3 linked regions of the Caenorhabditis elegans genome follow. The protein of the gene in region 2 purifies or fractionates together with the protein of the main gene of each other region. This does not show direct contact. Each region holds a gene or a part of one and is shown on either strand. Other genes may lie near its edges. The genes, in order: rnh-2, tyms-1 and mam-3.

The links.
Region 1: the proteins of tyms-1 (region 2) and rnh-2 fractionate together in Caenorhabditis elegans (co-fractionation; one large-scale study listed by BioGRID). This does not show direct contact.
Region 3: the proteins of tyms-1 (region 2) and mam-3 fractionate together in Caenorhabditis elegans (co-fractionation; one large-scale study listed by BioGRID). This does not show direct contact.

The regions. Positions count from the first base shown.
Region 1 is NC_003280.10:8,513,188-8,523,164, reverse strand, and holds rnh-2 (Ribonuclease H2 subunit A), read right to left. Parts: upstream 6,016-9,977; 5' UTR 6,013-6,015; coding exon 5,919-6,012; intron 5,858-5,918; coding exon 5,550-5,857; intron 5,501-5,549; coding exon 5,272-5,500; intron 5,227-5,271; coding exon 4,964-5,226; 3' UTR 4,758-4,963; downstream 1-4,757. Other genes in the region: cht-2 (GH18 domain-containing protein), read right to left, coding at 1-304, 346-894, 946-1,015, 1,067-1,441, 1,483-1,580, 1,639-1,746, 1,787-1,878, 2,178-2,235; T13H5.8 (Lipid scramblase CLPTM1L), read right to left, coding at 2,684-2,888, 2,935-3,011, 3,061-3,493, 3,535-3,921, 3,966-4,294, 4,343-4,480, 4,524-4,655; ctg-2 (CRAL-TRIO domain-containing protein), read right to left, coding at 6,454-6,823, 6,872-7,128, 7,178-7,304, 7,530-7,815, 7,925-8,111. UniProt on the Caenorhabditis elegans protein: Catalytic subunit of RNase HII, an endonuclease that specifically degrades the RNA of RNA:DNA hybrids. Participates in DNA replication, possibly by mediating the removal of lagging-strand Okazaki fragment RNA primers during DNA replication.
Region 2 is NC_003279.8:5,130,703-5,140,906, reverse strand, and holds tyms-1 (Thymidylate synthase), read right to left. Parts: upstream 2,658-10,204; 5' UTR 2,638-2,657; coding exon 2,436-2,637; intron 2,392-2,435; coding exon 1,940-2,391; intron 1,884-1,939; coding exon 1,599-1,883; 3' UTR 1,525-1,598; downstream 1-1,524. Other genes in the region: Phosphatidylinositol-3,5-bisphosphate 3-phosphatase mtm-1, read right to left, coding at 3,069-3,167, 3,219-3,322, 3,372-3,456, 3,505-3,707, 4,146-4,630, 4,799-4,980, 5,026-5,196, 5,537-5,755 and 3 more; pfkb-1.1 (6-phosphofructo-2-kinase domain-containing protein), read right to left, coding at 6,987-7,580, 8,088-8,348, 8,397-8,540, 8,598-8,664, 8,721-8,823, 8,878-9,003, 9,310-9,367; Y110A7A.7 (Fungal lipase-type domain-containing protein), read right to left, coding at 9,860-9,989, 10,039-10,204.
Region 3 is NC_003282.8:13,441,456-13,451,756, forward strand, and holds the start of mam-3 (MAM domain-containing protein), read right to left. Parts: upstream 3,921-10,301; 5' UTR 3,812-3,920; coding exon 3,670-3,811; intron 2,951-3,669; coding exon 2,823-2,950; intron 2,392-2,822; exon of another isoform or gene 2,290-2,391; intron 2,047-2,289; exon of another isoform or gene 1,929-2,046; intron 1,861-1,928; coding exon 1,694-1,860; intron 1,306-1,693; coding exon 1,043-1,305; intron 804-1,042; coding exon 622-803; intron 1-621. Other genes in the region: uso-1 (Uso1_p115_head domain-containing protein), read right to left, coding at 4,577-4,720, 5,270-5,413, 5,837-6,582, 6,627-6,847, 7,824-8,206, 8,712-8,964, 9,938-10,022, 10,076-10,301.

The sequences.
Region 1 (9,977 bases), on a different chromosome or scaffold from region 2:
CTCTCTGTTTTGCAAAATCAATACATCCATTACATTCACAATGTTCCTTTGAATTTCCACAGTAACCTCCATTACTACAACAATGAGCATTAGCATCATCTGGATTACAAGTTGGCGCTTCTCCTTCTAAAGGTGGAACATCTCGACCACATCGTCCACGTTTCCCTTCTCCAGCATCCGATGTGTACCATGTGATCTTTTGGCTTGGTTTCACTGGTTCTTTCAAAATTAAATTTGGATCTGCACCATAGTCAATACATTCAGGACAAGAACAGAATTCTGCACCGGAACCGCAATAGCCATACTGCAAAACGGTATTATGAAGCCTTTCACGGTGGTACTAACCTTTCCACAACAAGCATGACCTGGATCATCTGGATCACAAACGGGATAATATCCATCAATCAATGGAGACGATTTTCCACACATTCCAGCCAATTCCTCATTATCATCATATGTCCACCATCTTTTGTCGTCTACTGGAGAACACTTGTAGTTGAATGACTTTGTTGATGTGGTACAAATAGATTCAGCTGCAGCAGAGTTCAGAAGGGTACCTTGATCATCATCAAAGTCAATTGCCCATATCATAACTCCTCCAATATTATTTTCAACTATATAATCAACTTTATGTTTGAGACTTTCAGCATTTTCATATCCAACAAAGGTTTTTTGTTCAGAAAGCCAAATGAATGGGGTTTTGGATCCAGAATGAAACTTGGTTTTTGTAGTATCAAATTTCTCGTGCAGATCTCTCCATTGAACATCTCCACCTTCAAATTTTGTGCCTTCTGAATTAGTTGCCGTAGCAGTTCTCCACATATCATCTGTTGAGTCAACAGCATCACCCACATTCTTCCAGAAACGACCATAGAATGGGACACCCATATTTATCTGGAAGTTGATTAACGGTTACGGTAACTCAAATACCAAAATGTTTCTTACCTTATCAGTTGCTTTTATTTGGCAACTGTAGTCTTTCATCGTGGCATGTACGTTCATTCTTCCAGAGAATCTAAAAAATTATTTCGTTGCTCTTCGCTTCCCCTTACTAATTTTAGCTCACTTTTTCGGCATAGCAAACTGTAATGGTGCTGGGGGTCCAGTGTATGCACCCCATTTCGAAGCCCATGCTCCAAAATAATCATAACTCATAACATTCACAAAATCACAATATTTCATCAATTGTTGTAGATCGTATCCTGGTTTCAAGACCCAATGTCCTGCTGCTCCAGCGAACGATATGAGATACGACTTTCCTGTTTCGGATTCCAAATCTCTCAACTCATTTCGAAGTTCTCTCATCAAGTTTACATAATTCCTTCGATCAGCTGGAGTACCCTCAACAGCACCGCCTGTTACGGGATATTCCCAGTCAATATCAACACCGTCAAAACCGTACTCTTTAATAACTTTGACAAAGTTCGAGATTAAAATTGATCTGAAATTTTATGTGTTTTCTAGATCACGCCTTTGACACACCTTCTAGAGTGATCTGCAGTTAAAACGGAAAAATATTGAGAGTTTTCCCAGCCTCCAACAGCGTACAAAAGCTTGAGATCTGGATGACGAGATGCAACCTAAGATATCAAATATCATTTTAAAAACCTATAACTTTTAAATAGTTTTTGACAATACCTCTTTAACATGTTCCAATCTTGCTTTTGCAGCATCTCCTTCCAACTTGACACTTCCATCTGAATCGACGACGAAGAAGGCGAAAACTAAGTGTGTCAGCTTTTCAGCCTTAATTTGAAAGTGTTAACTGAAAAGTTTATAAAAATACCTGATCATCTCTAAATGGATGTTTGCCCCACGATGTAATATAACCAACTCTTCGTCTTCCACAAGATCGGTCTAGGATTCCACCATTGGACACTGAAATTTTTTAAATATCAAATTTCTTTGTGACCTTAGCGATTAAAACTAATTTTTAGATACTGTTTTATGTTTCAGAGTTGTGTACCTAATTAAAATATAAGTACGCCTGTGACGTCACATTTCTACCATTTGCTATTACATTATTGGCTACGATGAAGACTCCGACAACCCGTTAATACCAAAATAAGTATGAAATATACATAACTGTTTTAATTTGTTACCAATTTTTATCTAAACTTCGAAATGAAGTTTATAATAAATCTGCAAATATCTGGAAGTTCGATAAATTTGCATACCTCCAAAAAGTACAGTAATCCACACAACGAACAGCCACATCCACATCACGAATCTCATTGGCTACGCGGACAAAAATGAAGTCAAGTTCCATTTCTCAAGGAGCTTTTCAATCTCTACACTGTATTCCTGCGTTTATACAAGTTCTCACACTATTTCTCACATTTCTTGTATTTACACGCGCTCAAATAAGGTGTGAAAAGCAAAAAGCAATGCGCCTTCAAACAAGTCCGTTTCGTGTCCATTTACGAAAAAGGACGGCTCTTTCTTATTGGTTGTCCCGCGAGAATCATGATCTACTTCGTTTATTGAGGGAAGCGAGGCTTCCAATTCAGCAGAAATCACACGAACAACAAATTGAACCAGTAATGGCAAACAAATAAATAAACACATTATAATTATTAAAATAAAAACAAGTTTGTAGAAATTTTGGTTTTAAAAAGACTGTATAAGTTACGGTTACAGTTAAAGTCTAGATGGTTTTAATACTTTAAAATCTGAGACTATTTTAGGTTTTTCTAGCAGTTCTCCGCTTGATGGTTCCCGATTCATCTTGTTCTGTGGTATTGCTCTTCTCTTCAACTTCAGGCTCCAGCTTCTCTTTGTTTTTCTTTTCTTTCTCATCACCACCTTCTCCGAATTCGTTGATTCTGGTGTAATCAACTGGATACAGCCATCTTTGGTAGAGATATACAAGGAACACAATATCGTCTCTGATACAAAATTATTATAATATCTTCCTCTCTGAAAGTTTCTTACCTGAAGCAGGCCATACGATGAGCAGTTGGCATGGTTATGACAAATGCAAACAAGTCATCAATAAACGTATTGAATGCCTGTAAATTAGATAGATCTCGATATGAATATTTTGTAATTTTAAGTTACCTTGTACATGAAAGCTCTCCATGGAAGATGTGCCACACTCTTTAACTTGTAATTGACAAACAATTGTGGTAACATAAACAAGAAGCCAAAAGCATAAACTCCATTAGCAGATGTTTCCAGAATCCATGATCGCCATGATTTATGAGGAACGTAAAGTAAGCTATAGATAGCTCCACCAATAACAAGTGGAACTAAAAGAATCGACAGGTACTTCATGGCTTGCGAGTCGATGGAATCAGTTTCGTCTTCTTCTGTTGAGTGTTTTCCGAATTTGATTCCTTTCCAAGTTATTGTAACTTTGTAGGCTATGGTGACTTTCCAGTATTCGATTACTGTAGCAATTCCAGCAGGAATCAGAACAAGTAATGATGTTTGTTGATCGAAAAGATAGAAGAAAATTATTGTTTGAGAGAAGCATCGCCATAGGAGAGTTCTGAAAAATAATCATAAAATGGAAACATGTGCTATTCATACTTTGTAGATAGTCCGACCATTGATTTTCTTCCCTTCCAAAATGAAATATCATTTTTGAAAGCTAATGCATCAAATAGCAAATGTAATGTAGATACGAAGAAAGTAACCATCAAAAGAACAATTGAGGTTTCAGTGAAAAGTCCACGAAGCTCATCAACATCCTTATCTTTAAATCCATGTTTCATGAGCTGGTGGGTCGAACGAGCTGTTGAGGTGAGCAGAAGCAGCTTGGCAACGCTTGTTGGTTCGTAGTTAATGGTCAAGTTTACAGACTTTTGGAAGTCGGCGAGTTCATAGAGATGCTTGCTTCTCATACTCATTTCATCCACAAACATGATTGGAAGGTATCCTTCTTTTTTATCCTGCCGTTGAATCGTCAGAAAGTCACTGAAAACGAACATATATTTTCATAAAATATTTATTGAACTTACGCCAATTCTCCACTGACTTTGGTCTTTACGTATCGGTTCGGTTCAGATACAATTCGTACCGGCAGAATTGTTCGGAAATGTGCGGCCAGTTCAACAACTTTTGACTTGGACTTTTTCGGTTTTTCATCGACTTTTTCTTTGACTTCTTCATCTCCTAAGAGTTGGAAAGTCTTGGCCACTGGCTCTTGAAAAACTACCATAGGAGCCGCTACGTGCACTTTCCATGAAGCTTGCATCGGATTACGACCATCAAATTTATGTGGAAGTAAAATTGTATGTGCATATAGGTAGCCATCTTTAGCAACCGAAGACGGAATCTTCACTTGAAGCTGAAAATAAAATATAAAATGAGGTTATTCTATATTTTAGAAAATTACATCTTTCTGGAAGGCATCGGCAACTTGCAAGTTTTCAACAGTCGTGATAAGTGTCTCCAATGCATCTCTTTTCGTTGAAAAATAGACTCGAAGCTGTAGTAAATCGTACAATCCTTCGTGGTTGGGTTGAACAATTGGCTATAAAATGTTATTATAGTTTTGCCTCAATCGAAAAATTTACCGAATAGCACAATTCGTCAGAATCCTGATCTGTACATAACTCCGGAGTGAAAAGCTTATAAAGTTGAAAAAAGTTGTAGAACATGAAACTGAGGAACAGTGTGCTCACAATTTTTGTCAGGTTTATCTCCATCTGGAAAAATCACTTTTTGAAAGAATTTTTGAGAGATTCATCCAAATATTAATATCCGGTGAAAACGGAATTTCATGATACTTTCATTAAATACAAATCGGAGAATTTCAAAATTTATTCAATGAGTATCTAAGAAAAGTTCACCAGAAAAAGTAAGAGAAAATGAATATACTACAAGTAAATTGAGGTATACAACCAAAGTGATGAAATATTTAGAGGGAGATATGAGGAGATCAGAAACGCGTTAAAGAAAATGGTAAAATAAAAATGAATGGTGATATTGAAAAATGTAAGTATTTCGTTATAATTCAAAAAGTTAGAATATTGCTCATATGTCTTTCCTTGAAGTACACATTTCTTTTTGGTACAACTTCTGTTTCATTTTTCGGAACCATCCATGAAGTCATTCTTTTGCTTTGTGATTTCCCTTCTTCCTCGTCATCTTCCCAACTGCCTGGAACACATCTCTTCTCAACGATAGTACTGGCTGTTTTCCAGGATGATCGAACGAGTGAGCAGAAGCCGAAAACTGGTTCCACACTTAATTGAAGGAACTTCTTTGTGTTTGGATCTGAAAGAAAAATAATAAAATATACTATTCATAAAATAAAAAGACCTCCAGGATATCCACTTCCATATCCAGCATCTGGAACTTTAATATTTTTCTCTCTAAATTGCCAATTTCTCAAACGCGAGTCTCTCGTGACTTTGGCGGCAATGGAAGCTGCACTGACGATAGGAAAAAGTGAATCAGCTTTTTCAGTCACGCAAATTGAAATTCCGGGAAATAATTTCTCGAGTTTGGCTTGATAAGTTGCTTTCGGGCCAACTGTGTCCACTTTGATCTGAAAAATAGTATACCTTATATTTAGCTTGTATATATTTTCAGGAAACCTCCACTACATTCACATTGCAAGCTAGCGCATCTCGAATCAAAGTGATCGCAGCTTCATGGGATACTTCATTCAACGAATACTTTTGTCTTTTGAGCATTGAGCAACTGATCAATTCAGGGGAAAGACATCTGAGAGCATATGCTATGATCTGTTGGATGTCTTCGTCTTCATTCATCTTGTTGAAGATTTCTTCACGTTTCGCCTCGTTCAACGCTTTTGAATCGTCGACACCAAGATTTTTCAACTCTACATTTTGATCAAGTGGGGAAATCGCTGCTGCGTAGACCATAGGACCGAGCACTGGACCTAAAATTTGGATATATTAGATTACTGAATTATCAATTATTGACTATTATTTTCCACAAACCTCTTCCAGCTTCATCAATGCCCAAAACGCACGGAATACCATTCCCGAAATTGTTCCACGTTTTGCTTCGTTCAGTTTCACACTTCAGTGACATTCTCTGAGAGAACAAATATTGTAAAAAAAATAAATATCTATTCATATAATACATTTTGAAGGTTAATTCAAGAAAAAAAGACATTGAAGTGAATAATGACATAAAATAAATAAAAATCGTGGAAATAAAATTCAAATTGTGATGCGGCCGAGCTTTTTCTTTATGGTATGCAGATACGCTCTATTGACAATAACTAGGAAAATTCGGTCGCGAACAACACTTGGACAATATTACTGTACCCCACATATTTATATGCACAGAAAAACTTTCAAACGTATAATTAGCTATCACTAGCACTTTATGACGTCGTTCGAATGATTTTGAAAAATCAGAAATTAAAAAGCAAATACAACAAATAAGCTGATGGATAAAATAAACGTTTTAATAGGTTATGAAAGTATACATTACAATAAATACGATTTTCTAGTGTGTACCGGTTCCTCAAGGATTCCGCACCTCAATAAAATATTTGACAGTTTTAGATCTTAATTTGCTATGAGTATTATCAAATACGAATTTATATACTCCAGGCTCCGCAGCACACACTTCTCCATCTTCCGGAACGAAGTCTGTTTGAAGTTTGAATTTTGGATGCACCATGTAGTCATCGTCATGCTCTGCAACTTTCTCTTCACCTTCTGCTGCTCGAAGAATCGAGAAATTGATATCGTTATTCTCCAGCCTCCACCACCAATAAAGTTTTCTTCCTGGTACATTTCCTTCGAGAGTAATGGGAACAAATGTTGTCGAACGAGCAGAAACGTTGAGTTTGGTAAGCTTCTCAGCTGGAAGATCGTTGGCCGGGTCATACCTAAAAAACAGGATTATTTTTCAAATAAATTTTCCTCTGCAAAATTACTTCAATTCAGCAGGAATCTTGCCACCCATTCGAACATTTCCATATTCAGTTTCAGCCTTTCTAGTTCCACCCCATCTTTCAAATAGCACTTCTTCTCCAATATTCTCCTTCAAATGTTGTTTCCAATCGTTTCCCAAAATCTTGACTTTCTGTTGAGTTTGCTTGGCAAGACATGGCGAGATCATACTCCAGAGTACTTGAATAAATGTTGGTGTATTAACAATAAATATCTTACGAATTACATCAGGAAACATCTCCTGAAATTAAACAATTCAATTTTTAATACGACTAATCTGGAAAATGTACCTGAAGCTGCGAGAGCATGGTAGTCACAACCTTCAAAGCAGCCAAATCAATTTGAACCATTGAAAGTCCGTCAAGATCGAAAATGACAGATGTTCCCAATGGTTTTCCTTGCTCTTTTTCCATTTTTCTGAAAGTATAAGTTCTAATTTTTCATTATTATTACAGTAGTCTACATCTTATTTCGCAACTAATGTTTCTTAATCTCTGGACAAAATATAATTTTCGGGTATTCGATATCAGTGTTCTATTTTTCAATTTTTCTCTTCCGCTATCATATAAGTCACAGAGTAAACAGTATTCCAATCACTTTTGCCACACAGACTAGAGTGACGTTATCTTGAACTACGCATACCTGATAATTTGCATGACTCCTTCACTTTCAGCAATTCTCATTCTGTATAAATCCGAATTTCTTGTGGCTGGCATGAGACCGGCTGCGTCAAGATGTCCAATCATTTGAAGAGAGACCACATTATTCTCATGATCCAATCCGATTAAAGATCCAGGAAGGTATCGAAGTGGAACACTACAATCATCACATTTTTGTGCCACTTTTTCCAGTGTTGAGAGATCTTCTTGGTCAAGTCCAAGTGCATGAATGGCACGAAGTGAGAACTTGATTTTTGGAACCACAACATCTGAAAATATATCTATTTCATTTTACAATTTTTTCGAAATATTTCAAAACCATCATAAAATTCATAAAAAAAACATTTACAGTTTAAACAATATTCCAAAAAGTCTTACCAATTTTTCGATCCCATCCGATTAACCATCTCATAAGTGAAAAATCATCATCATATTCTTTCACTAATTCTAATTCTTTATGAATCCTTTTTCTGAGTTCATCGAGAAGCTTACGATCACTTTCAGTAATTTCTCCAGTACTTGTAGACATCCTTTCACCTGACAATCGTTTTTTGGTCAATTTCATTTTTTTTGCTAGAAGCTGGTGTGAGAGAATAATAAAAAGTTAGAAATATATAATTGTTATCAATGAGAATATGTAAAATGACAAATTTTATCACGGCGCCCGGGGCGAACCGAACTTTATCGAAAATCAAAGAGGATACAAATATCGAATAACACATGACTACATTTTTAGCCGTTTGATTTCATTTTAAGAAGAATCAATTGACACAGAGCATAATGCACAGTTTCACGAAAAAATCGTTGTGTGTACTAAATGAGCACACAATTCATTTGGTGATAAGATGTTTCAGTGAAAAAACTACTAAAAGTATAATGTTTTCATTCTCTGCAGATAAACTATGCACTATTTTGAAAGACTTCATCTTCATTAATTTGAAACTAAAATTCCAATTTTATTTTTGAGAATCAAAGGTACATTTCAAATCTCAAAATTTTGAAACTAGAATTTTGTATATATATATATATAAGTTGAGCTCGCATTTTTAAATTAATTTTTGCACATGTGCACTTTTTTTTTACTAAAATTATGTATTAATTTTTGAACTTGCAACAATGCTTAATCTCTTAATTTCTCAACAAGTCAAAATTGTTCAAAATTTTGGCAGTTTGCCAAAACGGGTTTATGAAAATCTAAAATGTTGTAGTTTAGCTGGAGTCCTTCTGCATTGATCTTTTTTTAATTATTAACTTTTTAAAAAGTGTTACAAAGTCAACGGTAAACTTATACTAAGCATTTGAAGAAAAACATTTATCAAAAAAATGCCACCATTTGTTTTTAGTTGGCATCGTACAGTTTTCCATATAATTGATAACTTGTACGACGAAAAACTGATGATGAAGGACATAGTACAATTATCAAAATAAAAATGGAAAGCAATTTACCATCATTTTCCTTGGATTTCATTCGAGAGAATAATCCCATTTAAATTTTCAAATAAATTTTATTCGTTGAAATGTCTTCTTAAAATGCATAGTTAGCCTTTGCTCGGCCCCGTTTCACGAAAAACAAAAAAGAAAAAAGAAAAAAGAAAAAAGAAAACCAAACTTTTTTTTGAAATCCGAATAGAAAATCGGCTTATTCTTCAAAATGGAGAATCCTTGACAACCAAAATTTGAATATTACAGGATAAAGAGAGACATAGACAAAAAGAAGCCATTTGAGAACGGGCGGTCTCCACCTACCAAAGAGAAATGTTTCGAGAGAGAATGAGGGGGAGAGAAAGAATAATATTATAGTAACGATAAGAGAGGAAAGTATGCCTGGAAGAGACGGAGAATAAGTTATGAACATGTTTCGAAACCTTTTTTTTGGAAATTTGTCACTTTGTTTCTGAAATTTAAGCCAATAATTTTTTAAATCAAAATTGATAATTAAGATGGGACATTGAAAACACGAGGATATCAGATGTTTTATATTTCACTATATTATAATTTCAACATCTACATTTTCTTCAAAATTATCATAAACTGCTCCAAATTGTCTTGGAAGTAACAATTTTACATTTTATTTAATGATCAGCATTTGGACTGATCTTCTTTAAAATTAAGCTGTTTGATTTTTGATAATTTAATTTTCTGTAATTTTGAAAGATAACAATACGGAAAGGAAATTTACTACCAAAAAACAACTATACAACCAAAATTCCTGACTATTTCTATCAATTTTGAGATAAGTTGGAAAATTCAGAGTTTTAGGTTAATTCTATGCATTTCAAAAACAAGTGATGCATGGAGAATCTGCCATATTATTCCACAGTATTTTTTTTCGCTAAATATAAGCGAAACAACGATCACATCAACAGGGAAAATTCCTTACTTTGGAAATTTACAAAAAATCAAAATTTTGCGTTTATAAAACACAATTTAA
Region 2 (10,204 bases):
AATTTTTCATCGTAGTTTTGCCAATTAAGAATTGGTTCCAAAAATGTTTGGTCGACTTCCAAAACTATAAACTAAATTCTCATAATTAATATTGAAAATCGAGAGTATCTCTATGAACAAAACCAGTTAGGTAGGTAGATCCTCTGCAACTTTGCAACTACAAAACCTATAAGCTAAGGGTTTCAAAAAAAGTTTTGCAGACTTCTGCACTGCAAATGCGGATCAGAATTAAAAAAACAACTTAATTAGTCAAAACAAGGAATGGAAAAAAACGAGAGAGGGTGTTAGTGTTTGAGATAAACAAAGAAACGCAGCAAGATAGAGAGAAGACGGAATATTGAAGTACTTCTTTCTTCTTCTCCTTCTTGCATAGTTGTGTGGGTCCCTTGCTTTACGTTCCATCTCTTTCTCTCCGTCTTTCTCTCCATGTTGATTGTTGACTGAATCTCTCGTTTCCCGAGTTTCTCTCCATCTCTCTCTCTGACTCTTTTTTATCATAGTCCCCATGTCTCTCTCCCTCTCTAGTCCCCGCTCCGGTGGTGCCGAGAAGAGTTGAGCCCCCCGTTGTGTGCTCCAAGGATGACTGAGGAGCACAGGAGAAACGACGCATAGTTTGTGAAATATTGAGAGAATACGAGAAAAGAGCTCTTCTTCCTCTCTTGAAAATGACTTTGAGAAAAGAAAAGAAAAGAGGGACGCTCGATCTTTTCCAGGAGACAGAATGTCTCCCTCTCCCCCCCTCTTTTTCACTTTTTTGTTCATTTTTGGCTTCTTTTCATTGTTCCCCTCCTCCTTTTACTCGACTCTTTTTGAATTTTTGGAGACAGCAAAATTCACTTGAATTTCGAAATTCAAATCTAGGCCGCGTCCGCATAGGAAATTTCGATCATTGTATAAAAGAACTTCGTTTTAAAAATCAGTAGGTTCACATGAAAAAAGCTGTAAAGGCGCAGTCGCGAGTACTGTAGTCTACTTGGAGAGTACGGTAGACGAGGTTGTCTTATGTACACGGCCAAAGAAAGGAAAAAATACTTTGGTCCAAAAAATATTAGAATATTCTGTTGTCACTGTCATCTGACTTTACAAAAAGTTGGACCACTTGTTTTTGAGAAAACACGCGCCGGGTATACGGTCAACGAAAAACTTGTATCACTCGCAAAGTTGTGTGATTCATTAAATTCGACTTTTTTTCACAACATTCTTCAAAACCACAAGGACAAATTTTAGCACTTGGACACCTGACAAACTGACAGACATTGGCAGGACAGCACAAATAGTTGATGGATGAGCTGTGAGTTGGCTCGGTTATGATGAGCGAAAAGATGATTGAACAAATCGGTTTTGTAGATGGAAGATGAAATTGAAAAAGAAGGAGTGGGAGAGCGAAAGAAACAACACGCATATAGAAAAAAATATGACTGATTCGATTTCCTGTTGGGGCTCTAACCTATTGACAAGTTTTTTTTTCTCTTGAATAATGTGGAAAAATTCTATTGTAATGTTTTTGATATGCGTAGTGTATATAGAAGCCTTGCAATGTTTATTTTCATAAAACTGAAAACAATTAGATGAGTGTTAAAATGTTACATCAAAATAAATCAAACAGCCATATCCATTGGGATTTTTGGATGACACTTGTAGTCATCCAGGGCAATCATATCAGAAGTGAAATCATCGATTGAGGCCACGTCTCGCGTGAATCGAATTTTGGGGAAAGCGTATGGCTCACGGTCCAGTTGAATTTTGAGAGCATCCACATGATTTGAGTAGACATGAGCATCTCCGAGAGTATGAACAAGGGTTCCTGGTTTCAATCCACACACTTTTGCAATCATGTGGGTGAGAAGGCCGTAGCTGGCAAGGTTGAATGGAACTCCGAGACCCTGAAATTTAACTTCTAGTAAAATATGTAATTTACTACATTGAAATTTTTGCTCACCATATCTCCACTTCGTTGGTAAAGCTGACACGAGAGCTCTCCATTGTCCACATAGAACTGACACATTGTGTGACACGGTGGCAGAACCATTTGTCCAAGATCCGACGGATTCCACGCGGACATAATGATTCTTCGACTATCCGGTTGCTCCTTAATCTGTCGGATAACTTCAGCCAACTGATCAACACCTTGTCCAGAGTAATCTGTATGACAATCCACATATTTCGCCCCAAAGTGTCTCCATTGAAATCCATAAACTGGTCCAAGATCTCCTTCTTCACGAGACGTAAATCCGAGATTGTCAAGGAACGCGCGATCGCCGTTTTTCTCCCAAATCTTCACATTTTTCTCCATCAAAAGCTTTCCATCGGTCGATCCAGAAATAAACCAAAGTAATTCCTCGAGAACTCCCTTCCAATAGACACGTTTCGTGGTAAGCAACGGAATTGTGCCTATAAAAGTATTAATTTTTAAAATGGAAAATCGAAAGCGTTACCATTTCTCAAACAGTATTTCGATTGCATTCCAAAAATCGAAATAGTTCCAGTCCCAGTGCGATCATCTCTTCGTGTTCCTTCTCTCAAAATTTGCTCAACTTGCTTCAAATATTTATATTCATCTTGATTCAAGTGAACTTGCTGTTGAACGGTTTTTACGACATCAGAAGGCGCATCGGCGATGATATTTTCTTTGTTCATGACTTCCATCTGAAAATGAATTACTTTTTTAAAGAATTTAATCAATTAATTTGACTTTTAAGATCGGAATAATAAGTCTGAAGCAATAAAATCAAAGCAAGGAAGGAAAAATACTGGATCAATTGTTTTTCCTATTTGAAAATTGCATGTGTTTCGCGCGCTCCCTGGAAAAACGTCAGCAACGATAATGGCGGCAAATTTGAATTTGAATAATAAAGAATAGACTGTTAACAGTCTATTCTTTATTATGCTGTTGTATTTAATTTTAACAGCTGTTGTATTTAATTAAATAATATTTAAAGATGAATTATTTTCATATAATATTGTACAATGCACATAAAGAAAGCAAAATGAAATCACAGTGAAAAGTTCTAAATTAAATTTTTAAAAGTCTAACAACAAAATTGAATAACTGAGCATAATTAAAATAACTAGGCGGTCAATTTTTGAGCAGCGTCGTCAAGAGCCATAATCTCATCCAACAATTGCTTTTTCTCGTCGACAAACTGTGCGCCTGGCTGTTGAACATCCTAAAACTTCTAATTAATTCATTATCATTTTCTAGCGGAACTGCTGTTTACCTCATGATTTGGAGTAACTACATATGGATTCGATCGGGCGTAGTAATCAATCCATACATGTAAACCGCAGAGAGATGGGTTTACGTTTATCACTTTATTGGATTCTGAAAGTTAAAATTTTGAGATTTAATATTAGTTTAACAGAAAACTAACTTCCATGCTTAAACATTGGATTTCTGAATTTCTTTTTATTTTCCAAAACATAGGACCAGAACGATATCGTCGTTTCATCGCATTTCTGAAAAGTTGAAAAAAAAAAAATTGAAAAAATCTTCATGAAAACAACCTTATCCTTCAGCCGGATTTTTTCGGAATTGTACAAAAATGTTCCATATCTGCAAGCGTAGAGCTCATCGAGCATACAAATTAGCAGTTCTTGTGTAAATTCAAATGCCCATGGAAATTGTCGCATAATTTGCCATAGGCAGTCACAGAATTGAACAAATACGGGAGATCGTTCTCCATCGCTGTAGTTATCGTCGCCGTGACCTGAACGGAAAGTATAAAATCAAAGATTTTTGGTTCTCAAATAATATTTTTTATAGTTGTTAGCTTCAAAAAATTCCAAATTTTTCTCAAATTCAGAAATACCACAACAGAAAAACGAAATAAAATTGCGAACGGATGAAAAATTCAAATTTTAAAAAATTCGATTTATCAATTTTGACTAACTAGGGAACACGATAACTATAAGTATAACTTATAGTTATCGTGTTCCCTAGTAAGTTTCCTGTTTGAATTTTCCCCAAGATGAGAACTGGGAACTTCGCCAGAACTGAAAAATCTAGTTTTTTAAGTTGGATTTTTTTTCGCAATTTTTTTGATTTTTTTAAAAATTTTCTGAATGGATTTTTAAAAAAAGCAAAATCCTCATTCACGCTACTGCAACTTTAATTGCATGATTTTTAAAATCTATCAAAAACGAACCGATTCTCTCTCCAAATTTATGACCAAAGCTACACCATTCCTTCTCAATCAAAACGATAAATCCTTCAATTGTACGGTAATAGGAGTCGAGTTGAATCATTGCCAACGACGTCAGCTGTGCAGTTCGATCCCAACCATCAGAACAATGAATCAATACTGATTGTTTTTCAGTGTCAACATTGAAGACAGCTTTTACTGCTCCTTCCAAAATGCTCTGAACATGATTGAGCCATTTCGATTCGTCTAACGCTTTGTAGTATCCCTTCTCGTCGACACGTGGAATCAGCGCGGCTAGCAATCGTTTTAATGAATCCCGAACAACGTGAATATTGTGAATATTGAGGAATGTTAGAGGAGCATTGACATAATTCTCTTCATAACCTCCACCTTTTGCCTTATTAAGTTTTGCATTGACTGCTGGTCTTGCATCAAGGATCAGAAGTTCACGACAATTAGCATTGGCATTCATAATGTTCGTGAGATGTCTGAAAAATATAATTTTTTGTTGAAAAATTGAATGCTTTAAAAAATATATCTTAATAAACGATTTTCCAAATATTTTTTTTCGTTTTTCTTTTGTGACATTTCAGCATATTAGAATATTAATATTCCGATTATTTTTTATTATCATTAAAAATAAAAATAAAACCTACCGCTCGTCCTCAGCACTTCTTTTTCCAGAAATTCCAGTCATTGGCTGTGAGCATCGTGAAATTGAAGCTAAAGTTGTCTGATTAATCCAACTCAACACGGGAATTCTTTCTTTGCTTCTAAACTCGCCGAGCTTCTTTACAAATGGTTTTCCTTCCTCCCAAGATACTGTCGGAATTACAAACTGAAATAAAATTATTTTTAAAAAAGAAAACCATCATTAACCTACAGTTCTTGGATAAGTTTCGCTAAATTTATAGTCTTTATTAATGTCCACTTCTTTCCAAAGACGTGAATTCGGGATTCCAAGGCGTTCATATTCTTTTTCAGCTGAATAAATTTTCCAACCATCTTTCATAAGTCTAGGTGTTTCTGCTGCATGTACAGAGGCGAACATTGGCTGAAAATTTCCTTTTTTGGTTGAATAATGTTGTTTTTCAAGTTAGGCTGTCTATTTCTTGGTTGTCAAGTAAGTTTTTAATAAATCATTGATTGTTTAAAATCTACACAATAAACTTTTTGCGTGCCGAGACCCATTTGAAGAAATCCGTGCGGCTTTCTAAGGCGAAAACTTGTGAAATTACGATACCGTGTTTTTTTAACTTTAATTTTTTTGCTAACCAATAAATGAATAATTAATTTTATTTTTTCGTAAATTAAAAAAAAATATCAGAATTTTTTTTCATTTCCAATAGTTCTAGAGCCAAAAGCCCCCTATTAAAATTAAAAAAAAAACTCACCAAATTATGCGATAGCGGAAAAGCGTATCTATTCAACGAATCGCAAACATTTTTTCTATCACTCGATGCTGGATTACATGTAAATCGATAAACTCGATAATCTTTACAATAAATTGTGAATCCATAATTATCATCGCCTCGTTTGGCAACACTCGTCGTCTTTCTACCAACTTTTTCTATCCGAGACACTTGTCCGAGTGGAATATCGAGCTTCCATTGCTGAAATTTTTTGTTTATATTTGTAAAATATAATTTTAAAATTTTAATCACAAACCTCATACATTTTTCCACCATCACCAACGAGAAAAACCATTCGATACCTAGTAATTACGATTTTACCTGGAAATTTTCCAAGTGGTCCGAAGTATGTCACATTTTTCTCTGTAATTCCTCACATTATAATTGTTAAAAAATCAATTCCAACCTGTCCAAATAAGACTTTCTGCGGCTAACAATTTGAGATCTATTGATTCTTGTATCATTGATGAACTGGCAACTGAAATGATAAAATAAATTGAATTCAAATAACGAAATTTCATAACGAAATAGTTCGTGATGACTCACATTCTCCAACTTCTCCACTATTGTTCCCTCTGTCATCCATTGATATTGACATTTCGATCAATTTTCCTGTAAATTGATTTTTGAAAGTGTATGAGAATGTTTGAAAGCCGAATAGTGGAACGATTATTGGGAAAGAGAGAGAGAGAGAGAGAAGAAGGCCACTAAGAGACGCAGGTATGTGCAGAAAATAAATACAACTTGCTTCAGCTTTGTTTTTATCGTAACTTCACAATATTTTGGCAATCCTTTTTAAAACCGCATGGATTTATTCAGATGTCGTTTTCTTTTCACTTTTCTGTCAGAATATGTTTAAAATCAGTTTTCAAAGTACAAATAAACTACTTCCATTAAAAATGTGGGATTTCCTGTGTTTTTTTCATACAATGGTTTTAAACAACGACAAAATTCCCTTAATAAATTGAAAAATGCAAGAAAAATAAACGAGGAAGCAGCCGCAAAAATTCAAACACAATTACCATAAACTTTTTTGCGCGTCGGGACCCATCTGAATAAATCTCTGCGCCTTTAAGGATTAATTTTTATATGAATTGATTTTTCTTTTAAAATAACAACAACTCAGTTACGCGTTCTTGTTTGGTTTTCTTTTAAATTTTTAATGTGGCTCCTGACCGTTTAATACATTAAAAATAGATTATTGTAGAAAATGACACAGCGAGAAATATTGCAATCAGTCCATAAAATTGAAATCGATGTAATCTTTATAACTCTCACATAAACGACAACGTATTTAAATTCAAAGGCAATTGTTCAAAAACAGGGAAAATGCAATCTCAAAAAAAACGCCCGACATAAAAATGGGAACTTGTATGAAAAAATAAATGTACATTTGGCATAGATAATTGGCTAGATAAAGAATAAATACTTCCTATTGTGGCTTCTCTCTGTAAGTATTGACTGCTTCGATGTCGAATTTGAAAAGTTCAATCTCACAGGAATAGGCTTTTGGTGTGAGCTTGATGACTGTATGCAATGGAACCTTCAGATATGGAAGATCATCTCGATTTTTGTTAGTAAAATAGGCAAGAATGCAACGGAGAACTGCTTGATGAGAAATGACAAGGACATTGGATTGTCTCTCAAGCTCCATGATAACTGGCTCCAGACGAGCAACCAGATCTTCATATGATTCCCCACTTGGATAACGGTAGTGATATTTATCCTTATCTCTTTCAGCGAATTGTTTCGGATAACGAGCCTCGAAATCTTCATAAGTTAATCCTTCACATATTCCGGCATCGATTTCATCAAGACATTTCCAGAACTCTGTATGACCAGCGAGATCTTTCAGATGAGAAGCTGTCTGGGCGGCACGAATCTTTTGAGATGACCAAACACGGAAATCGTCCAAATCTTCTTTTTCGAAGTATTCGCGAAGTTTTCCAGCGTAATTTAAACCATTTTCACTGAGTGGGGAATCACCACCAAGACGACCAATTCTGTTGTACTCACTTTCTCCATGCTGTAATAAATTTTTTAAAGGGATTTTTAAACTATAAAAGTTTAAAAATACTTGATAATTCTCAGTGCTGTTAATTGAATGAATTATATCCCAGAAACGGAATTTTGTGCCAAAAAAACCGGTGTCCGGTCTTGACACGACATTTTTGTTAAATGAAAAAAGGCATCACCTTTAAAGAATACTGTAATTTCAAACTCTCGTTGCTGCGGAATTTTCATTGATTTTCTTTTTTTTTCACGATTTGTTAAAATTCAAGTTTTTTTACGGGCTCTCTTAGCTTGTTTGGTAAAAAAATATTAATTTATCAAAAAGTGAAATAAAAAATAAAAACGTTTTTACAGCAAATCGTGAGAAAACTGAAACTCAATGAAAACTCGGCAGCAAAAAAAATGAAACTACAGTAGTTTGTAAAGACGCACACTTTTTGGCATTTAATAAAAATTTTCGCGTCGAGACCTGTTACCTATTTTTAGCGCAAAATTTTTTCGGTTTTTTTGTTAAACTTACTCTTGACAAATAAATACTTCTTGGAAGAAGATGAATATTCATCAGGAAATACACAACACGACTCTGCACATGACCATTAACATTGTGAACATAGAAGGATTTTCCGGCATTGATAACTTTGATATAGCTCAGCTCTTCATCATGATCCTCATCAAGTGGCTCATATTGCATTCGATAGTTCTCGATACGCTTCAAAAAGTCTTCTTTTGCTTCCTCTTGAGACATTATTCCTTTATAATCTGGCGAATTGATTTTCACTTCCTGAAAATATGCGGGTTAAGGTGATTATTTTGAAGATCTAAAGGTTACCGTGATATTCGAGTTGATAATATCAGGATCATCACAAACAGATTCCACAAAGAAGACACGGAATGGTGGCTCGTGCATCATATTTCTGCAAAACTCCATCAGAAGCTTTCGTCGGTCTCTTGTAGTATTTGTCGCGTCGAGAATCTGAATAAAAAGTTTATGTCTATATATTTTTTTGAAATTTTTTCCTTTGTAACTCACCGCCACTTCTCCTTCCTTGTTATCCAAGTACCTTCCCATATCTTCAATGGCTAATTTCGCGCACTCACTGAAAATTCAGGAATTTTTTTAATTTTTTTTCTTCATAGTTTCGTAAAATCTCACTCTCGGATCTTTTGACCTCTGGCGTTGTTTGGCGAGAAGAACTCATTTTCGCCTTCTTCTTCCAAATTACACGCTCTTCTTCTGTACTCGCCGACATTGAATGCTGTAATTTTGATTTTTTGTTTCATGTCGTACATATAATCGAATCAGGACCAACCTTTGGTCTTAATTCCAATCCAGTTGAGGTAACGACACAGTTTGTGTGAGATGTATGTTTTGCCACGTGCCGGCAGTCCGACAAGTGCGATGACGTTTGGAACTCGAACCTGCTCGTTTGAGTTGTCTGAAAATTGAGATTTTTGAGAAGACAATGTGGAATGAAAATAAAATAGGGCTAATCGATCAATTTTATGCACTTTTTCAACTCAAAATGCGTCCAAAACGGCTCAAAATTTCGAAAAAAAATGGGCTATTTGATTTTAGCTAAAATCTTCAATTTTGCCAAATTTTCCATGTCGAAACGGACGGAAATCAATTTTAATTGAAATTATGTGAAATAAACTATCTTTTTAAATTTCGCTCATTTGGGCACATTTCGAGTCTAAAAGAGCAAAAAAAAATGGTAAGTCCTCTTTTAAAGTAAACTGACCACTCTTCGGCACGAAATACGTCATTTTGCGCTGCGGTACGCCGGCTGGCCCAGGCATCTCGTTCTCCTGCAACATTTCTAGCCGAAATGATATCGTCTCTTATCAAAATGATTCCGAAGACAAAGGCTTATCATTTTAATCAAATATTAAGAAATCAATAATAATATTATTGCGCCGGAGAGAAAGAAAAACAGGCAATGATAGAGAGAAAGAAAGAAAGAAGGTTCGTGTTATGAATGGGAAGAAAGTAGACACAATCTTCCATAACAATAAAGTAGGAAACCGAAAACGAAAAGAAAAATAACCAACAATTCATTTTCTGTGTTCAACCATCCCTTTCTTTCTCTCTTCTCCTCCCTTGTTTCTTCTTACACTCGAGTTCGCGGGTGTCTTATCTTCTTTGGCGCCTCCTCTCTCTCTCCAATAAAAAGAAAGTCCTGAGAAAATATACGTGACACACGGAAGCGAGAATATTCTCTCAAACCGACTTTTCAACAGTTGAAACGACGAGAAAAAGAATCGCAATTCAATCAACATTTTTAAATTTATTTAAACATTTTCATTATTTATTAATGGTTCATCATCCGGTGGGTCTACACATCCATTAACACCGTAATCTGAGACGTGGTGTCCAAAGTAGAACAGGTGATCGTTGATGTCAAAGTAGCGATGAGTGTTGCTGTAAGAGAAGATTTTCTTATCACGTGATTTCGATCACTGTCACTTGCCTGCACAAATTGTCCTCGTTCAATGGAGTCCCGGTGCAAACTTTGAACGTATCTTGACTTGTCATGTTTCCAGGAAACCAGACTTCGACTCCATGGTGATAGGATCCATGATTGTAGAATGGTATACACCATCTGGCATAGCTTTCCACGCAGAACGGAATATGTG
Region 3 (10,301 bases), on a different chromosome or scaffold from region 2:
GTGGATTGCCCAATTATTTTTTAACAAACAGTTAAAAAGGCCACTTCATAGAGATGAATACCTGTCTAATGCTTCATACAACTCATTTTTCATCACTTTTCTGCACTTTGGATGGGTTTTAAATTATTGACATACTGACGAAAATTTGTTTTTACCGTATTCCCTCTATTAGTATTGCACCCCACTACTTAACTTTGAACTCGGTTCATTTTGAAGATATCAATGTATTATTAACTACGAAATGATAGAAATAAAGTTAAAAAATATTTTGTTAGTTGACAATTTTTTAATAGGACAAACGATGACTGAGATATAAGCTGTGAAAGTTGAACAATGGGGTGAAGTACTAATGGGGTTATTCAAGTAATGTAGCGAAATGTATTTAAATACATTTGTGACGTCACAAATGTATTTAAATACATGTTTTTATTTACTTGAATACATGTGTGACGTAATTTTTCTACACTTTTTAATTTTCCGACACTACTTGAATAACCCCATAATAGAGGAAATACGGTAATTAACTTTAGTGGTTCGATCCCATATTTCGCTTGAAGATATCAATGCTTCAAAATGTTGTTTAAAAAATTATCTTATTTCCAAGATTTAATTAAAACAAACCTCAAACATATCAACCCATCGATCAATTGATCTACCAACTCTCCATTCACTTAATTGAGATTTGGCCATATTTCCCCATCGACAGGATCGTAGCGGGCGTTCACAACTCAAATCAGACATTCTTTGAAGTGGACTATTATCATATGGAGGAATACGAAGAGATGAGAATGATGATGGGAATGCTGGAATAATTAATTTTAGGTAAAATGGGAGTGATTGAGATATTTTGTTAGATTATGAAGAGTGAGGCATTGGATTTTTCTGGATGTTCAGTGAAAGTTTAAAACTTCTCTAACAAATCTAGTTTTATTTTGAAAAATTTACAGAACAAAATCTTTTAAAAAAGGATTAAAAATATCGTTTTTTTTGCGCGCCAATTTGATTTTGACTGCTTCATATCTCGAATAACTTTAAAACTTACGTGATTGCTGGCAAATCTTTCCGTGATATCTGATATGATCAATGATTGCCAAACTTCCAACAGTATTATCTTTGAGATCAAATGCTCGAATTCCAATTCTGAACGGTTCCTTAATCGGCGGAATCTCGACACGACATTCCTCATTGGCGGCTCCCAAGAAATCACACTTCATTTTTGGTCTGAGCAAGACTTGAAGATGACGTCTACGATTCATTGCTCGAAGGATGATAACTTCCACTTGAGCATTGTTGTATAGCCAGAAGCTAGAAGGATATAACTGGGATTATAATTTTATTTTGGAATCTATGTTAGTTAGAGCACAGTATTTTGCCGATCGCATACTTTGTGAGCTTTTACTCAGGCAACTCAAATCTAATATGAAAATATTAAATAGCAATATTTTTGTAGTAAAAACGAGAAATTGTGCGTCATATAAAGATTACTAAAAATTTCGATTTTTTTTTTTTATATCAGCATTTTTCAAACTATTGAATCATAGAAGAACGCTTAGTTCGTTTTTTACATATTAAAAAAAATGCAAAGACAGTAGAGATCTAAGCTTTCAAAGAAGAGCAAACACATTTTATTTCAAAAAAAATTTAGGCCCTCCAACTTTGTGCTTAAAATTCTTAAAATTATCTTTGACAATACCTGAAAGTCAAGTTGGCAAATCCTTTTTGACAAGCAATTGGAGCACTGCTCAACACTGCTCCATTCGGATTTTTCGTCGTATTTCCAGCAATTATAAAATGTTCGCCTTTTGGAATTACAGGATTTCCGGGCTGGATTTGAACTGGGAAAGTTTTCTCGTCATTTTTCTGAAATTGTTTAATTTTTTAAAAAAGTTTTGAAAAATTGTAAGTATAGAATTTATAGATTTGTCTAACAAAATCGTCAAAAAATTTGGAACGCTTCACGAATTTGCGTGTCATCCTTGCGCAGGGGCCATGCTAATCTTCTCTGTATTGTTCCAATTTTAGTATATGTTCTCGGAAGAACAAACATTTAGATTTACATTTCAATTATATAGGGACCATTAACAATGCAGCTGGCATATTTGGAGTTATGTAAGACACTATACCAAATGTAGATGTAGATCAATAATTTGTGCACCTATTCTATAGCGATACCAATATCGATTTGCATCTCCACTTCCCTAGCATAGTCATAGTGTCTTACATAACTCCAAATATGTCAGCTGCTGTGTAAATGGTCCCTATATAATTGAAATGTAAATCTAACTGTTCGTTCTTCCGAGAACATATACTAAAATTGGAACAATACAGAGAAGATTAGCATGGCCCCTGCGCAAGGATGACACGCAAATTCGTGAAGCGTTCCAAATTTTTTCTATAATTTTTGGTGAACTTTCCAATGGTTCTAAAGTTGAACTGTATAATTGAATTGTCTGAATAAATTCTCGAAATGTTGCCACTTTCAATCGAGTTTTTGAAATGTTTTTTTTTTGAAACTTTCAGTTAAAACTAGTTCATAAAACCAATTAGTTGCCAAAATTAGTTGGTATCTTTTACATATTATTCGTCTCAAAACTGAAAGCTAAATATTGTATATTATACCCTGGCCTACATATAGCGTAGGATATGGAATTTCACATACATTTTTATTTCTAATTGAACAATTATACCACATTCAAAGTTTGTATTCAGCGAAATCTATAACTGAGATCGTGACAAGACCCACTCAGAAAAGGTTTTATATTCCAAAAAAAGAATAGAATGGCACAAGACATTTGAAGGAAAGTTTTTCATGAATAACAAACCTTAAAATACCACCAATCACTGGTATCCAAAAGCTTATCAGTCGGCGCATTTCTCCAAAGACATTCGGTCTCAAAGTCACAGTTGAGTTCATCAGGTGACTCAATATACGTGGCAAATCCAACGGCCTCTGAAATCCACGTGATTGTGGTTTTTTTTTGCAGATCCTCGTGGTTTGATAATTTTAGCTGTTTAAAAACAAAAAAACACTTCACATTAAAATTGCTTATTTATCACTAATTTTTAAGAACGAATCTAAAACCAGATTTTTTATGAAAGTAAAAATCGGCTGATTTATTGTTGTTACATACTTTTGTTACAGAAATTAGCGAAATATTAGCGAAATCTGGATAAAATACCGTAATTTTACTACTACTGTACTACTGTAGATTTTGAAGTACTTCATTAAAAGCTCACGGAATTATTCAGACGGGCCTCGGCGCGCAAAAAAGTTTATGGTAGTTTTATTTGTTCATTGGATGTAGTATTGTATTTTTTTTCAATGAAATCACATGGTTTTCAGCTGTAATAAATCGTTGACAATCAGTTTTCAAAGTTTAAATAAAAATTAAACTACCGCGAACTTTTAATTCCGTGCGCCTTTAATAAGGAACTACAAAATCAAGTAAATTTCCGATAAAGCTTAAATTTTTGGAAAAAAAAATCTCGTCAAAATTCAGAGTAAATCCAAAAAAAACTGGAAAATGTTGAAAAAAACATTTTTAAAAAATCGGGATGTGGCCATAAATTATTGAAAAAAAATTGAATTTTTCCAAAAAATCGAAAATTTAGACTTTTTTCGTTCGGAGCAAAAAACAGTAAATTCCTTCAAAAAACCAAAAAACCAACCTTCCACAGGAATCTCTCCATTATTATCTGGCCTAATACCAAGATACAAGTCTAAATATCGAAGCTCTTTTTGAAATTGAGCATGACATGCTTCTAGAGATGGTAGAAAAATGAGCAAAAGTGCAAATTTCTTCCAGATCATTATTTTCGAGAGGCAAAAAGGGTGTGTACAGGCGAAGAACAATGGCAGATGCGCGGGCCAGGAGAAGCAGGCGAGAGGAACGAACCGGCTTCCGAATCACTATTGATATGGAGAATAGACGGGTTCGTTATATCATTTGATCATTCACCGAATCCCCATTCAACCTGAGAGAGAGAATGATGGATTTCGGAATCAATCAATAATTTATTTGGACCATATTTACTATTAAGTTTTACATAAATAAAATTGAAAGGAAAAAAAAAACATAATTTCGGTATCACAGAAGACAGTGTGGTTTGAACGAAATGGAAAGAGTAGGTAGGGATACAAAAAAAACAGGAAGAAAATATTTTGCCAGCAAAATCACGGCGAATACGATATCGTAGATTTACAAGATCTCTGAGATGTCTTCTTAAAGGCGCACGGTTTTATGGGTCTCGGCGAGCCCAAAAAAATTTTTATGGTATTTAATTTTGTTTATTTTCTTTGCATTTATCACATAAGTTAAAAATTGTTTTAAATCAGTTTGAGAAAAAAAAACAAGAAAGCCGAAACATATCTGAAAAAAACCTGTGCGCCTTTAAGAAGACACTTAAAAAATCCTGCGAAAGTACGGTGTATGCGTTATAAATTAAATATTATACAGGAAACCTATTCGATTTAAAAAAAGAAAAGTTGATTGGAAGTATTACATGTTCTATGACAAGATTGACCCCCCAAAGAAAACAAAAAAGAAACCCGATTTTTAGTAATCCCACAGCCTTATTACTCGTCCTCATCATCTGTCACTGGCTGTTTTAGGTTTCGAAGAAGGCGTCGGTAGGCTGACATTTTATTGTGTTGATCAGCGAGAAGCATCAGAAGTTCTTCTTGTTCTTGTTTCAGTTTTGAAAACTCTTCGGAGTCAGCCTGAAAATTTGAAATGTTTGAATTATTTTCACTGAGATAAAGCTCAAAAGCTACTCATCGAAACGTTTTTATTTTAGTTTTTTTCCAGAGAAAATTGAAAAAAAAATGAAAAAGTGGATGAAAAATCTGTAGCAAAAAATAATTTCTTCAGAAAAAATCGAACCAAAATTTAAAAGTAGTTTTTTGAAAAACGAAATAATTAATTTTTTCATAGAAAAATTATATTTTAAGTGTTTGATATTTTTAGAATTTTTTATTATTTTTTCAGCTTTTTTCAAAAAAAAAATTGAAATTTTATCAAGTTTTGCTCAAATTAACCTCAAATATATAACTATTTTTATATATATATATATTTTTTCCTTCTTAAAAAAAAGAAATCTGTTAAAAAATCAAGGTTTCGAAAAACTGAAATTTTACACATTTTTTCGATTTTTTAATGAAAAAATCGATAATTTTGGTAAGATTTTCCATCTTTTCCAATAAAATTATACTTTTTCAGTGTTTTTTCTAGAAATTCCTGAAATTTCGAAAATTCCACTCGAATTCTACCTGTGGTTCGTGCTCCACAACTATTCCATTCGAAATTGGCTTCAAATTCAATTGCTCAATTTTATAATTGGCTTCAGCGAGAGCAGCTTCCGTTTTCGCGAGTCTATCTTTAAGATTTGCATTCTCTGATGTATAGTGGAGCATCTGAAATATGTAAATTTTATTTTTATGGTTATTTTATTTTTTTTTGGTTATTTTTTTTATTTTAGACCAAACGGAAGCCGAAAAAAAATTTTTCGAATAAATTTAAGCATCGAATTGTTTTTTGGTTTTTTTTGATTTTCGCAGATTTAAATGTTTAGTTTTTTGATCCAATTGTGTCATTTTTCGATTTTTCGATTTTCCGGAAAATCGAAAAAAATTTCCGAAAATTAACCACAAAATATGATTTTACAAAATCAAATTTTTGTTTTATTGATGAGAAAAAAAATAAATATTTTCATCAAAAAAAGAAGAACCCTGACCAAAATTTTAAGCTAATTTTTGAAAAATCGACAAATTTTTTTTTCGAAAAAACGAAAATTTTCGATTTTTCGATTTTCTGATAAAATCTCCTGTCTACCATACCGTTTGTGATTGCTGTTCGAATGCCTGATATCCAAATCCGAGTTGCTGCTCCAACTCGTTGACTTGTTGCTGAAGCTGAGCCAATCCCGTCTCTACACCATTCGGAAGCTGTGCCAACTGATAGGCTTGCCATTGTTGAGCCCATTGCTTGTATCGTTCGGCTTCTGCATACCATTGTTGTGTGAGTCTCTGTGACTCTACTAGCTGACTATTCAGCACTTCATTTTGAGTTTTAAATGCTTCAGATTCTTCTAATCTCACACGAAGATTCTCAACTTCTCGTTCCATTTGCTTATTCTGAACTTCTGCATTTAATTTCTCAATCTCAAGACTCATTCGCTTATTGTCTTGCTTCAATTGGGCAATATCACCATCTTGCCGTTTTATGAGTTCTTTATATGATTGAATGATGCTATCATTGCTAGTTCCATTAAATTCTCCATTCGGTTTCAATTGCTTAGCCAACGTTCCTTCGAGAGATTTGAAAAGTTTAACAAAGTGGAAATCGAGGAAAAGCTCATTTGTCGGCTGCTGCTTTTGTGCTGCTCTAACAAATTGCTCGGTTCTTGAAAGTCCCTCCAATGCGGACAGAATCAATTCCTTTCCAACACGTCTTTGAATCAATATTTCCATCGATGATCGTGCTTCCTTACTTTGTAAATTCTTCAAGCACGATAGTAGAACAAAAGCCATGAGTCCTCGTAGAACCTGCTGCTCACTCTCCGATCCTTCACCACATTCATCCACTTAAACTTTTGAAAATTATTTAAAATTGAATAACCGTTCCCACCTAAATTAGTTGTCAAATACTGTATATGCTCGTCTTTAGCCATAAAATCGGAAACTGCGGCTGGGCAATTTTGAAGCCACGTTCCCAGGAGCATCAGGAGTCCGGCTCTGGTCTGTGGTCGGCGATTTCCAGTAGAAACAAGTAGTTGGCAGACATGATTTAAAAGTGTCAATGGAGGATCCTCTGTGACTACGGTGAGGTTTACTCGAAGAAGTTGCTCGCTGAAAAAAACAACGGTGAATTTTTTTTGTTGGGAAATTCAATTCTTATAGTTAATTTTTTTTATGAATTTAAAGGTGCAGTACCGAAATCTCAAAAATATTTTTAAATTACTTCAAATTTCCGCTGATTCCGAATATTTGAATGAACAATTCCAAAAAAATTTCCCTGATTTTATATTTCAGCTTGAAAGCGTGATTTTCAATTGCGCCTAAATGAGACTTTTCAAACGCCGAATTTTGGCGCCAGAGACGTCATGTGTCGATTTACCAGATTTTCAATCTTTATTGGATAATGATTTCAGGTTTTTCGACGAGTTTCCTTTAGTTTTGCCAGTTTTTTTTTGAAAATGTGTTTTCCAAAGTCAATTAAACATATATTATCAAAATACTAACAAAATTTCCAATGCTGGTAACAACTCGACGGAAAATCCAAATATATGCTTTTCCTGACTGAAAATCAAAAATGTTGTTAGTTTTTTGATTATATAACGTTTAATTAACCTCAAAAAACACATTTTCAACAAAAAAAAAACTAAAACCGACGAAAATGAAGGAAACCCGGTTGTAAAACGGAAATCAGCATCCAATAAAAATTGAAACTCTCGTAAATATACACAAATCTCGTAAATCGACACACGGCGTCTCTGACTCGAAAATTCGGCCTTTTTGAAGAATCTCATGGGGACGCAAATGAAAATCGCGATTTCACGCTGAAATATAAAATAAGAGAAATTTTTTCGAATTTTTTCATATAGATATTCGGAATTAGGAGAAAATTTGAAGTCATTTAAAAATATTTCTCAGATTTCCTTTGAGTATATTTTCAGTCCGAATTTGGACCTATCGACTGAAAATGTATTTAAATAATAGATTCTCATAAAAACGCGTAGAAAACCACTAAATGTGACATGCCATTAGGAAATGTTTGAACATTTTTTTTTGAGAATTCGACTTTTTAAAAGATATACGTGTTCACCTCAAATGATCAACATCATACAGACAATGCATAAGAGTCACACATCCGAACCATGCCTGAACAGATTCAGCCGAAGAAATTGCTTGTAAAATGAGAGCTCCAGTAGTCAAAGAGCTCGAGCTGTTATGAGATTGAGGAAGCAACGTCTCAATTACTCTTGCTTTTCCGAATTCATTGTCAAAAAGATATGACAAAAAGCAGTAGAATACAGCGCATCGCAGCTTGTACGGCTGTTTTTCGGCGGTCATTGAGATGAGAAGAACCACAAGAGAGGTACGTGGAACATCTTCTCCGTTGTCAAGTACAGTATTCGCGAATAATTCTTGATTTGTGTAGTTTCCACGAATAGCTTCAGCCACGACGATTATTGATTCGGTAAGAATCTGAAAAAAAAATTTTAATTTTAAAGGGTAAGTAGTACCGAAATTAGAGATTTAAGTACTTTATTTGTCCCAAATTCCGTAATTAGAAATTCTAAAATTTTCTCAAAGAAAAGTTATGACGGTTTAAAATTTTGAAAATCTCGAAGTTTGCCAATTTTCTTGCAGTTTATTTTTGTTGAAATTGACTCAAAAAACTAAGTTTTAGATCAAAAAAAAGTAATTTTACAATACAAAGTGTAAAAACATATGTTTTTTCTCGTTATTTCGTTGATTAAGGTACATTTCAAGTAATAGGTATTTAAATGTACCTAAATCAATGAAATAACGAGAAAAAACATACGTTTTAACACTTTGTATTGTAAAACCACTTTAAAAAAATTAAACTTAGTTTTAGTTTTTTGAGTTTTAATTGCAACTAATAAATCTAATAAAAGTCAATTTCCGGCCGCTGAGACACCGGTTTCGTTATGAAATTTGTTCTTTTCGGGCCATTTCGAACACAAACCTCCACAGATGCTCCAATTTCCGATAGAAGAACTCTGCACAGCTCCTCGAGAATTTTCGTTTGATTCAAGACTTTCTGAGCTGCGTGGGTATTTTCACTGGTGTTATCTGGACTAACAAGTGTACGAATGATTTGAAGCAAGAAAATAACGTTAGCTGTCCGTTGTTTCGCCCATTCAGTTACTTCGATATCTTCAGTTTCTTCGTTTCCATAGAGAAATGTGTGCAGGATTTTTCCGAGGCGAGCGACAAATCTGGAAAATTTGAATTTATAATTTACAAAAAAAAATCGAAAAAAATATTCAGAAAAGTAACAATAAAATTCGATTTTTTGTCTAATTTTGTTTATGTTGATGTGAAAAATATAAACATTTCTTCTAAAAAGGAGATAAATGACTAAAATTTTAATATATTTTTGGAAAAAGCGAAAAAAATCGAAAATCTTTCGTATTTCGATTTTGTAAAAAAAATTGAAAAACCGCCACTTTTGGTCTCGACACGATCAACTTTTGCTAAATGCAAAAAGGTGTGCGCCTTTAAAGAGTACTGTAATTTCAAATTATTCTTGTAATTTCAAATTATAATTATTCTCGAAAGTTTAAAATTACAGAAATCTTTAAAGGCGCACGCATTTTCGCAGACAACATAAATTTGTCGTGTCGAGACCGAGTATCGTCTTTTTGGCGCACGTGTATTCAGCTCGACCAACGCCTCGAAAATTTTAAAAAAAGGCGGGAAAAAATATTTAAATTTCCCAAGAGGAATTTCACCGCAGCGCGTGCAAAAATGTCTGCATTTGCGCGTCACGGTGTTTGCACAAATTACACCGAATGGTCGAGCTGAAAACACGTGTTGGCGCGAAAATCGCAAAAAAGGAGTAATTTTGAGTTTTTTCGTAAAAAATACTAAATTTCATAATGATATTTGTCTAAAACTCGAAAAAGTAATTAAATTGAGCTAAAATCTGGAAATTTGCTGCCGGAGATCGATTTTTTGTCAAAATTTTCACATTTTTCTGCATATTTTAGTATTTTATTTCGCATTTTCAAAGGATACATACCAAAATACAGAATAAATACCAAAAAAATGCGGAATAATTGATAAAAAATCGATTTCCGTGAGAGACAAGTCGCGAAAAATTCAGATTCAAGCAAAATTTTGCCATTTTGAGTGGTTTTCGATTTTTTAGATGCAATTTTTGTGTATTAAATTCCAATTTTCACTCACTGATCTTCTCTGAATATTTGCTGATTCATCGCATGTTTTCTCAATAAATTAAGCATTACAAACATGCAATCTTCGATGACAATGCCTGAAAACATAGAATAAAATAAATAAAATGTTTAAAATTGATTAGCCGCTCACTGTCAAGGGGCTCGGTTTCAATAATATTTAGAAGATCGAGAAATATATTATCATACGCGAGAAGCTGTTGAACCTGCGAGTTGGCTCTGCTCAATTCACAAATCATTAAAATTGCTTCGTTTCGAATAATTTCTCGATTATCATGAATAACGTCGACGAGCTTTGCGATTCCTTGAGGATGCTCCATTACGGCTTTTTGAACTTCTGTTCCACGATGACGAAGCAG